3 linked regions of the Coturnix japonica genome follow. The main gene of each other region encodes a partner of the protein of the gene in region 2 in a complex. Links are inferred from orthologs where the notes say so. Each region holds a gene or a part of one and is shown on either strand. Other genes may lie near its edges. The genes, in order: SLC7A9, SLC3A1 and SLC7A13.

Region 1 (3,750 bases), on a different chromosome or scaffold from region 2:
CTCCAACATTGGCAAGTACTGATTTTGGAGAAACAAAGATACCTGAGCCAATAATTGTACCAACGATCATACAGATTCCACTAATCAGGCCCACCTTGAAATAAAAGGAGACATTTTGGTGAAGTAATTTCTAGTAACTACTTTTCAGTTTAATACGATACTAACTGACGTCAGTGATTTGCTGTAGCTTTTGACATGAAGTTTCAACTAATTAGTAAACTGTGGATTTTTTTTTCTTCCAAATACGTACATGGCCTGTGGCATGCCAGCTTGCATGTTTGTTTCCATAACCCATCCTTTGAATTATGTGGGTCTCAATATTAACGTTGTACGTGTGAGCAATTCTCTTTATTTAACTTAAGCGTCACATTTTGGTGAACACTTGAATTCTGAAGTTTTGTAGCTTCTAAGATGTGCCTTCTCGGAGGGATTCTACCCTTTTTCTTTAAGCAGTTGCTCTGCTCTCCTTGCTCCAGAAATGATTTTAATATTGATAAGTAATGAAAAGATTACATTCTTCAGATTTTGTAGCAATTGCCACATTAGATGACTCTAAAACTTGAGGCTCAAAGGTCATTGGCATGGGCATCTTAAATGTTCCTTATTAAGTTATAGCTAGCCTAATAACTTCGGTATTTTGCCAGTCCAGGTTCTTAGCACCTAAATGTATCTATGCAGGGTATCATTTTCCAGGTTGCTTAAACTGAAAGATAAATTACACTTCGCCGTGGGAGTCTTGTCAGAGGTAAATGAAGTGGCATATCCTTTCTGTAAAAGTATCAGTCATTTTCCGGAGAAGAAAAATTACTGTTTGTTTTTCTATACATTTAGCTGTTTTATGGACATAAACACTAACAGATTTGCAGTAGTGAGCTGAACCAACCCTGTTCAGCCTCTGAGAAGCTGGCGTAGGAAGAATTAGTGAAGTCCATAATGTTATGCTGAGCTGAGCAACTCTGAAGTGTAAAATAGTGAGAAGTAATTTAAAGACTTGAAAATTATATATACTTTCTTTTGTGTTTATATCAGAGCTATATACATAGCAGTTAATAAGTTCATAAAATGTAATTCAGCCACACCATGAAGATACTGCACATAAGAGCAAATTCAACTTTTATATGATGATACATCATCACATGTACATTCTTAATGCCTCCCTGTGCCGGCCCTTCACATGCGCATGTTAAGGGAGTGGCTGTAGGCATTTACCTGTTTTTTTAGGTTTGTTGCTTGGGGTTCCTGACTCTGAATGGATTGTCCATCCTCCTTTCTGTTGTCCTGGTCTTTTCTTTTCCTCAAGCTTCCTTCACCCATTTGATTTACTTGTTGAAATAATAAATAAATAAAGGGGAAAAAAATAAATAAATAAAGGGGAAAAAAAACAGTTAAAAATCTTTATTAAATTAGGCTTTTTCCTGCTTTCTTGGAGACACAAGCATTTTTGACCAGGTGTCCTTTCCTGTAAGTGTCTAAATAGCAGCTCTTTGTTTCAGAAAGTGTTGCTGTTCTTCCCTGTGTTGAACTGGGGTAAATGTCTTCTTGTGAACACTATATTCTGTTCAGGATAAGACTGTGAACAATTTGACTTCAAAAATGTTAATTTTAGATTTCTGAATGTAGTATTTTCTTGAAAGTTTTGTTTGTTTCACAAAGTGTTGGAATAAAATCCAGCCTGAAGTAGTGATGGAAGTGGAGGTTAAAACAGATTAGTCCTGATTCCCACAGTTAATGCAGTCAATCCCCTCTCTCCTTAGACTCTCCATCTGTAACTGTTAGAATCTGAACATTGATGATTGTTTTGCAGCTAAACAGACAATGCAGGCGTGCTTCGTATTTGGGCAATTCAGCTAGTATCCAGCAATTCTTGGCATTTTTTTTTTTAGCCTTTTAAATTGATGGAATGTCCATCTCAGTACTGCTGGTCTTCAGAAATGTTTCTGCTATATAGAGACCTGGTTTATGATTTTAAGATTTTAAAAATCAACGTATGGTCCAACTTAAGATTCAAGAAATAATGGAAAATTGCCCATGTAAGGAATGCAGGGCTTGGGTCACTGAATTCTATTACAGCTTTGTGCCCAACTTCTCTCTTTCAAGTTTTTTGTCTAGAGTATGTTGTTATCTTCTAGTAAAACATGCTGTCACTTACCTTATTTGTATTTCTTTGATGTAATTCAGGCTCCAGGGATCTCTTATAGTGTTTCTCTTTCCTCCCGTTAGATTTACCAGCCAGTTAGAGAGCAACACAGTTCCATGTCCGAAACAAGAATACGCAGAAGCAACAGCAGCTTAAGTACAGAGGTTATAAAAGGTAATCATTAAACCTGTTCTCAGCCAAGAAGTTTTGAGATGGGAACCACAGGTAAACCAATAGTCCAATTAGTTTATCTTTAAAACAAAAAGTTTTTTTTTCCCATTTGTTCAGAATGTTTGTCTATTACCTAACTATTTTATTATATAGTGAGAGGAAGTCGTAATTTAAGTGCATTTTAATTTCATGTCAAGTTGTTTGCGGTTCAGAAACTGTGTAAAGATAAACTTGAAGTAATTGTAGTGGTGTGGATATGTTAAAAGTATCTGTTTAGATGTAAAGTGCATCCCATAAAGGCAGCTCGTTTCATCTCGAGGAGATGGAGAAGTGTGAGCAGAAATCTCTCGTTTGGTTTTTCATTAACCTGAAGACAGCTGAGTGGGCAGCTTGTGTTTCTTTCATCTGCGGTTTCAATTTTTCATTGGAAGGAAACTCTGGAGATAGAGTCCAACCCATCTGCTAAAGCCAGTTCCCCAGGGCAGGTCACACAGGAAAGAATCCTAGTGCACTTTTTAGTATCTTCAGAGGAGATTCTACAACCTCTCTGGGCAGCCTCTTCCAGTACTGTGTAACCCTCATGGTGAAGAGGTTTATCTTCATGTTTGTATGGAACTGTGTTCCAGTTTGTTCCTATTGCCACTTGTCTTGCTGCTAGGCACTGCTAAAAAGAACCTGGGCCCCATCCACTTGACTACTGTCTTCTAAATATTTATAAGCATTAAGAAGATCATCTCTCAATGTCCTCCATGCTGAATGGGCTCAGGTCTTTCAGCCTTCCCTCATAAGGGAGTTACTTCAGGCCCCAGTCATTTTTTGTGACTTTTTTGACTCCCTAGTATTTCCCTGCCTTTCTTAAATAGAGGAGCCCAGAACTGGACACAGTACCCCAGATGTGGCCTCACCAGAGCAGAGATGAAGGTGACCTCCATCACTTTGCTAGCCATTCTCTTTTGAATGTATTCGAGGATCCCATTGGCAGCCTTAGCCATGAGGGCACACTGCTGGGTCCTAGCCAATCTGTTGTGCACCAAGGGTACTCAGGCCCTTATCTGCAGAGTTCCTCTCCAACAGTTCAGCTCCTAAACTGTACTGTTGTGTGTGGTTATTCCTCTCTAGGTGTAGGATGCTGCACTTACCTTGATGAGCCTCAGCGAGTTCCTCTGCCCAGCTGCCCAGCCTGTCCAGGTTGTGCTGAATGGAAGCAGAGCCTTCTGGCATGTCAGCCACTCCTCATGGCTTCATATTATCAGCAAACTTACTTGGGGTGTACTCTGTCCCTTCATCTAGTTCACTGATGAGGATGAGATTGCAAAACAATATCAGTACTGAAATCAAAGCTATATTTTGCAGGTAACAATTTTACTGTCTCCTCTTTATTTTGGTAAGAATTAAAAGCAGCATTAAACTTCAAGAAAGATTTTTTTTTTTTCCTTGTAACC
Region 2 (3,750 bases):
AACACCTCTGCTAAAACAAACTGTTACCCCCATAGGGCTGGCTAATAAACAGCTCCTTGTATCAACAGAGATTAAAGCTTCCCTCAGCTTGGGCATTCAGCTGCTCTGCAGCACCACATCAGTCCTTCCATCAGGCGTTGTCCTCCGTCACGGAACCATCATAAGACGAACCTTGAGTTTTGCTTACAAACATTTTAACCTTTGTCTGCACACTATTCTGTTTCAACCATTTAAATGTACTGTAATCTTAAAGTTAACTTTCAATTAAGCTGTAAATTTGTGCTATTGGTGCTGCAGCAGATCAGACACTTACATGGATTTCCTGTTGAACAGCAGGGTTGCGGAAATTTAAGTCCGGCTGTTCTTTCCCAAACTGATGAAAATAGCACTGTTTCCTCACATCGTCGTACTGCCAGCTGGAATTCCCATAGACACTCACCTGCTCAAGTAAAGGGGAAGAAAAGCAATCAGAACTTATAGTTTAGCTACGTGTATAATTTGTGAGGCATTACAAGCATATAACAAGGCACAAAATGCCTCATCAGTGCAACAAATTGGGTTGGTTTTAATGTTTTGTTTCTCATTTCCTACTCCTGTTAGCTGCTCCTCCTTTCAGTCACGCTTTTGCCACACGTATTTCATGTTCAATACTGTTTCATTCTTCTAAGCAGACTTTTGCTGCCAATTACAATACAATGGAAAACAGTTTTCCAAGACCATTTTCTTTTAGAATTAGGACCTCAGCTGCTCCTCACACACTTTGCCCTGCAGACTTTGACCATCTTCACAGCCCTCCCTTGGATGTTCTCTGATATGTCTTCCTTACATTGCAGCACCCAACCCCTGCTCCCAGTGCTGGAGGCCATGGCCCCACATCCACAGGACAGTTGTGTTCCAGGTGCTGTTGTTACCCGGCAACCCACAATCCAGCATGTGAATTACAGGTGATTTACAAGGGATTTACAAGCCCATCCCTGCCCACACTCACCCAGTTGTTGGGAGCAGTGATGGCTGCCCCTGCCTGCTCGCAGTCCTGCCAGATGTAGTAATCCGTGTACTTCCCAGTGCGATTGCGACTAAGCTGAAACCATTGGTGTTTGTCACTGGTGTGGTTTGGTATGAAATCCATTATTACCTTCAACCCTAAAACACGCACATACTTTAAATCAAGCCTTTTGTGATAAGGATCACATCTTACAGGCATAAGGGGAACCATTTGGGCAAGGATTTGGCTTAAGGCACATGTGCTACCAACCAAAGACACAACCACAGGAAGGAAGTCTATGCTCCCCCTTAATCTTATAATTCTCTTTCTGCTTTCTCCAGAAACTACAAGGCACACCTGTACCACAACAGCAAACATCTTTGTAATAGGGCTGTTTTGATCAGAGCTTACCTCGATCGTGTATGGATGCAAGAAGATCCTCAAAATCACGCATTGATCCAAACATGGGATCAATATCATAGAAGTCTTCAGCTCCATAGCCAGAATCTTTTAAGGGGGACTTGTAGAAAGATGTGATCCAGATGGTTTTTATATTTAAGTGTGTGATGTGGTCCAGCTTTTCTTGGATTCCTATTAAAAGAAAAAGGGCAATATCTGATTACAACAGACAAACGTGTTTGGTCACATTAAGTTTGATGTGGGCTTTCAAAGACAGAACACAGATCTCTTTGCTATGTAACCACTCCCAGTTTTCACCTATCTCAGATAGCGGGGCAACCCTGCCATTTCTTCACGAGCAACATGAGGCCACAGAATGGAAACCATTCAAAGTCACCACTACAGGGAAAAAGGAAAATAATAATCATTTAAAAGACTGACAGAAGACAACTTCTATTCTGCAGAATAATACTCGCCATTTCATGCAATACATTTAACATTCACTTCTGAAAACAAACACCTGTATTTTTATTAAAATACAGCACCATCGTTACTTTCTGGTTTCAAAGTCAATGGACCCTCTGACCACCCAAAGGAAGTACAGTCACAATGCAAAGACCTCAGGTTTGTCTTCTGTTAGGAAAAGTCTCCTACAATTTGCTACAGCTGCTGCTTTTTGTCTAGAAATTTTTCATACGCTATTGGGCTCAGACATCCCGTTTAGAAGCACAGCTAACCAATACCTGATCAGTATCAGGTACATGATCTTAGTAAGATCTCAGAAACACCCAGATCACAAAGAAAACAAGAAGAAACACTTTGCTTCACCCCCACTTTGTCAGCTGCCCCGCTTTGTTACATACCTTTCAGATCACCATTCCCATCCATGTTGCTGTCCCTAAAAGAACGAGGGTAGACCTGGTAAATAGGACCATCTTGCCACCAATCGAGGCACTTTGGGGACAAAGCAATGATGGCAATCGTGGCAGACACGAGCAGGACAGCAGCAGCGATGATGAGCCAGAAGAGAATCTCCCTGGTGACCCTGTACCGGGCTTGGCTGGAGAACTTCAGCAGGACCTCCTTCGGCATTCCTGCATAGGGCTGCAATGCTTGCTCTGCCACGGCTGCTGGGCTCACATCAACGGCACACGTTTTTGGTATTTCATCTTGGCTGCTGGTGTCGGTCTCCCTGTCATCAAAAGCCTCATTTTGAACAAACCCGTTGTTCTCCACACCTCCCTTCTCACTCAGCTCCATCGGTAAGCTCTTCGCCTCCTTGTCGACTGTTTCACTTTTTGCCTCTCCTCCTAGGGACACTCAGTACAGGGAGCCAGCATACCTTTGTTCAGTGGAATGAGAAGCAGCGCAATTAGCATCTGGCTTTATAAACAATCTTGACCAACTGGTCAAAGTTCACAGGAGACAGAAAGGGCAAAGTGCTCCGGCTCTTCTGCATAACAGGCATCTTCAGTGAGATAACGCTGCAAGAAAGCAGTTTCCCACAGTGGCAGGCCTGTTCCTGGGACTAACTGCAAAGCTACATTTACTGCTGCTCTCTTCAACATCATAAATTTCTCTTCCACAATGTGCAACTTCGTAAACTGATCATGGTCTCTCTTCCTGAACGCAATCTCAGCATTAATGAATAATGCAAAGACTGACAGAGAACAAGGCGTGGGCAGCTCCAACAGCACAAATTCAATAGGAAGTAAAAATCCAAAGCTTGATGAGCTTGGTTTCTCACAGCCCAGGGTGAGCACCTCAGCAGCAACAGCACCCATAAGGCACACACACTTCAAAAAGCAGCACCTTACAAGTTGCTGCACCCAAGAGCTCTGCCAGGCCAGGCATGACCAGCTCTGCACAGGCACAAGTAGCTCCCTCGTACACTACAACATAGCCACATAACTGAGAATCTCTGAATCACTAAGGTTGGTAAAGGCATCTAAAATCTCCCATCATCAATACTTCCCCACCAAATCACGTCCCCTACTATCACACCTACAGGTATCTTGAACACCTCCAGGGTCAGTGGCTCCACCCCCTCCCTGGGCAGCCGGTGCCAGTCCTGACCACTCTTTTAGATAAGTTTTTCCTCATATCCGATCTCAACCTCCCCTGGAGCAACTTGAGGACATTCCCTCTCGACCTCTTGCCTTACCACACACGGAGCTGCAGGCTGAATCATGTTCACGTAGTGTTGCCTTGGACACCATTTCATTTTCAATTTACCAGCATCTAATGCTAATCAAAGGAACTCAACCCTTGCTGCTTGTTCCCACCTTGTTTTGCCCCTGCCTTGTGCCAGGTAAGCTATCAGGTAGCTGAGGAACAAACCGCAGTGCAGAATGGATTTAGCACAA
Region 3 (3,650 bases), on a different chromosome or scaffold from region 2:
GAAGTGGTATATTTCTTCTGATAAAACTTATATCCAATTTTAAACATGCAAAATCTTGTGGCGTGTTCATTTCCTTGTCCTGTTCTATATCTAGTGATAGGTAATAAAGAGCAGTTTTTCATGGAAACTACAAGGAGATAATGCTCACAGTTACATACTGTGCAACAAGTTGAGTGAACAGTGTTTTATAATATCATTAGATTTATGAGTTAAGTTGTAAGCAAATGGATAATGCTGTTATATGTTTAATCTTACTCATCTGCTGACCTCTACCACATGTAGAAACATTAAACGTTAAATAAACTCGATGTGTGAAACGTGTAACACAAAGTTCAGTGGTGAGAACAGTGTGAAAATTGGGTTAATATTTAAAAACCTGATAGTTACTATTAAAATCCCATTAATTCTGCATTTAGAATATGCTCTTATTAAAAAGGTGGTAAAAAGCAGAAAATATAGGTTTTGAAAGCTTAGGGTTTTCTTAAAGGCAAGAATTCAGATTTGTAAACCCAAGGAAATACAAAATTGTTCACAAAGTACTATTTGCTGATCAGTTACCACAAGTAAAAATTGAAATACACAAGGGATACATGCAATCCACTGGGTAACACAGCTGTTCAGACAGATGCTATATGCTTCTATGCTATAGACCTCTCCTGAACTGAGTTTCCAGTTCTTCAACAATAACTTTCATTCCTGTGAGCCTTAGCTAAAGGATCCCATGCCAGCTGGATGTTGGGACTGTAGCTAGCGATGAAACAAATGCAAAGACAAATTTAAATCAGCTATTTTGGTGATTGCCTCCTTTTGTGCTCAAAATTATGAAGTGTATTTCTTCCATTTTAAATAAATCCCCAATTCTCTAGTAAACTGTATCTGCATTTCTCTGTTGTGCTCATTCTGTCTCTCTGCAGTCTGTGCACTGCACCCCAGAATAGGGCAGGCTCAAAGCTGATGTTGGAGGCAGAGATAGTATTTGGGGAGAAAAATGATTCACCCTCCCCCGTCAGCCTATATCAATACTGATACAGACTGAGTAGTTTTAAGCTAAGATATCGGGTTTAGCACTAAACACTTTTCCTCCACCAGTTTTGTCATGGAACTGATAATGGCAGAATCCAGCTGGGAACTGCCCTTTTTGAAAGCCACTCCATTACTGCTCCTCTGTCAATACTCTTCCATTATATCTTCTGTACCTTCTGATGTAAGAACAAAGAGAAATGTTTTGGGTGGAAACAGGAAAATACACTCAGTATGATGATTGGAGGGCTGGAGCACTTCCCTATGAGGACAAACCGAGAGAGTATAAACTGGAAGACAGTGGATTTAAACTAGATATTAGGAAGGAATTCTTTACTGTGAGGGTAACGACACTGGAAGAGGTTGTCCAGCGAGGTTGTTGTGGATGCCCCTCTCTGGAGGCGGTCAAGAACAGGCTGGATGGGGCTTTGGGCAACTTGATCTAATGGGAAGTGTCCCTGCCCATAGCAGGGGGTTGGAACTACATGATCTTAAAGGTCCCTTCCAATCCAAACCATTCTATGATTTGTATGAAAATTTTGAATCAGGGCTTACAAAGTGATGAAAGAATAAATAAACTGACTTTACAGCCTCACATTCAATATTTAGATTCAAAAGTATGTCTATTTGGAAATGCATTACCAAGTTAATATTCTAATGTACAGCCATATATTTGTTTAATCACATCAGAGACAATTAGTACTTTGTCATATTTTTATCAGTCTGTCAGGTCTCTCTTTTCCCAAGACACCTGATAACTAAAAAAAAGACAAAGGAGAAAAAAAAAAAAAAAAAGTTCTAAATACTTGATTTAGGACTCTGATGATAAACTACTCAACAAATACTGCAGGAACACACAAGCAGCATAGTTTAGGAACAATGATTAGGGGTTGGGGTGAGATTTCTGTGTCAGTCATGTCAACCTCTGTGGAGATTCACCACTGAAACCACGCTTACAGAAGTTGAACTGCTTGCTTTATTGTTATTATTTAATTAATTGTGTTTTTCAGAGGAGATGAAAAACCCTAGCAGAAACATCCCTTTAACTGTGATGACAGCTGTTCCCGCAGTAATTGTGTTTTACTTACTGGTAAACATCTCATATCTGACTGTCCTCACACCAAAGGAAATTGTCTCCTCAGGTATGAGTTTGATATTTTTGTGAGAAAGGTGAGATCTGTTAGCATACCTGTTTGATGTCAATGCACTGGATTACTTGTGCTCACTTAACTCCACAATTGGGAAGTCTGAGTTTTAGTCTAAGTTTTAAACGAGATTTGTGGTTTAAATTTTCTGCATGATATAGGTTGGACTGAATACAGAGTATATAGTAAGTGTCAAAATTTGGCTTATACCTGTACAGTTAAAAAAGAAATCAGAAGTGCATTAAAACATGGAAACCAAATGATGATTGTGCCCTTGTTTGATATAGGTAGGGATTTAGTTTTCCAGTTGTTTTAATCCCCTCTCCTCCTTTCTTTCCTGTGTCACAGTGTCTAAGGCTAAAGTCCTTACTGTTTAGGATGGAAATAAATAATATTTTCAAGTTACATGTAATAATAAATAATATAAAAAAGGCAATAGGAAAATATAGCCATTTGGGGCTGAAGACGGGTTATTCATGATAAGTATTTTCATTTCTTGGAAGACCCTGTACAAAAGTCCAGTTTCTGTAAAGCTTTTCTCAGATGCCACGCCAATAAGCTGTGCATAAAAAGGCCCAAGAGGAGCTGTATTTCTCTTTGATTGTCCAAGCAGCACCTTTTAAGATCCCAGCCTAATGAGACTGAACTGTCAGACCTTGCCTTGTCCAGGAGTGACAAAAAAAAAATCAATTTTTTTTATAAAATTATTATTATTATTTTTTCTTTTTCCTCTGTGAAAACAGCTCAATAACATAAATGATGGTGTAGCTGTCACTCAGCAGCCCCATAGTGTTGTCTGCCCATGATCAGGCTATCTGCTGGGAGAGACACATTTACAGATCCATTCTGTCAGGAAAGCAGCAGTAGATAACAGAATATCAGCGAGCAGGTGCTTGGCTGGCACAAGCAGTTCCTGAAATGATGCTGGAGCTGTGCTTATTTACGTCAGCTGAGGAGATGGCCTTAAAATTATATCTCTCATTTCAGACACTGCTATACACTGTGGCAGTTCTTGATTGCTCACTACATTGTTATCTTTTCCCCTAATCTGAGGAGTTTTATGCAGTGCAAATCACTGCAAGACCTATATTCCTCACGACACTCAGTTAAAGGCCTGCTAAGAATCAGTCCTCAATATAATGCAGGCCATCACCAATTTCTGAGAAATATGGAAAATCATTTGTCCAGCAATAATCTTTCACATTTCCTAGCTCTACCCAAAGCAAAATCAGATTAATAACATGCTTTATGACCTGTCTTTTAGCATACATACAATTGTGTTTCTTCTTACAGCAGGCCATGTCACCTCTGTGGCCAGGCAGATTCATGCCTCCATTATTTTCTTTACTCAGACTGCCCTGCTCACATGTCTACATTTGTTATTCATGATGCCGAGATGCAGCTGTAATGCTTACAGGGTGCTCAGTCCATTGCTTCCTGTTGGCCACTGTGGCTTCACCCAGGAGCTTTTGTGGTAGTCAGCAG

Evidence for each region.
Region 1: the proteins of SLC3A1 (region 2) and SLC7A9 are in contact, whole or in part, in a cryo-EM structure (PDB 6LID), measured with the Homo sapiens proteins. The link is inferred for Coturnix japonica from reciprocal best matches to the Homo sapiens genes SLC3A1 and SLC7A9. Residues at the interface, in NP_000332.2 of Homo sapiens: Pro64, Tyr65, Ala66, Gly67, Met68, Pro69, Lys70, Leu73, Phe74, Phe76, Ser77, Tyr82, Pro85, Arg86, Phe90, Thr93, Val97, Leu100, Ile101, Ala103, Thr104, Ile107, Ile108, Ser111, Cys114, His201, Asp202, Thr373, Glu374, Pro375; in NP_001119807.1 of Homo sapiens: Cys137, Phe140, Tyr141, Val142, Gly143, Cys144, Pro147, Ile149, Val150, Cys153, Leu154, Ala156, Ala157, Leu160, Phe161, Thr164, Leu168, Thr279, Thr281, Asp295, Arg296, Tyr299, Tyr343, Val346, Arg347, Lys467, Thr470, Met471, His472, Gln474.
Region 3: the proteins of SLC3A1 (region 2) and SLC7A13 are in contact, whole or in part, in a cryo-EM structure (PDB 8WK6), measured with the Homo sapiens proteins. The link is inferred for Coturnix japonica from reciprocal best matches to the Homo sapiens genes SLC3A1 and SLC7A13. Residues at the interface, in NP_000332.2 of Homo sapiens: Pro64, Tyr65, Ala66, Gly67, Met68, Pro69, Lys70, Leu73, Phe76, Ser77, Arg81, Tyr82, Pro85, Arg86, Leu89, Phe90, Thr93, Ser96, Val97, Leu100, Ile101, Thr104, Ile107, Ile108, Ser111, Cys114, Leu115, Glu194, Asn195, Asp202; in NP_620172.2 of Homo sapiens: Ile120, Phe123, Phe124, Pro125, Ser126, Cys127, Leu132, Pro133, Cys136, Leu137, Leu139, Ala140, Met141, Trp143, Ile147, Arg151, Lys187, Thr265, Arg267, Asp281, Arg282, Glu450, Cys454, Tyr455, Gln457, Leu458, Leu459, Phe460, Asn461, Ile462.

Annotation. Positions count from the first base shown.
Region 1 is NC_029526.1:8,598,786-8,602,535, forward strand, and holds the start of SLC7A9 (B(0,+)-type amino acid transporter 1), read right to left. Parts: upstream 2,238-3,750; 5' UTR 2,150-2,237; intron 1,323-2,149; 5' UTR 1,315-1,322; coding exon 1,210-1,314; intron 95-1,209; coding exon 1-94. UniProt on the Homo sapiens protein: Associates with SLC3A1 to form a functional transporter complex that mediates the electrogenic exchange between cationic amino acids and neutral amino acids, with a stoichiometry of 1:1.
Region 2 is NC_029518.1:22,701,388-22,705,137, reverse strand, and holds the start of SLC3A1 (neutral and basic amino acid transport protein rBAT), read right to left. Parts: upstream 2,750-3,750; 5' UTR 2,645-2,749; coding exon 2,248-2,644; intron 1,577-2,247; coding exon 1,397-1,576; intron 1,144-1,396; coding exon 989-1,143; intron 440-988; coding exon 314-439; intron 1-313. UniProt on the Homo sapiens protein: Acts as a chaperone that facilitates biogenesis and trafficking of functional transporter heteromers to the plasma membrane.
Region 3 is NC_029517.1:111,076,007-111,079,656, reverse strand, and holds part of SLC7A13 (solute carrier family 7 member 13), read left to right. Parts: intron 1-2,030; coding exon 2,031-2,162; intron 2,163-3,650. UniProt on the Homo sapiens protein: Associates with SLC3A1/rBAT to form a functional heterodimeric complex that transports anionic and neutral amino acids across the apical plasma membrane of renal epithelium.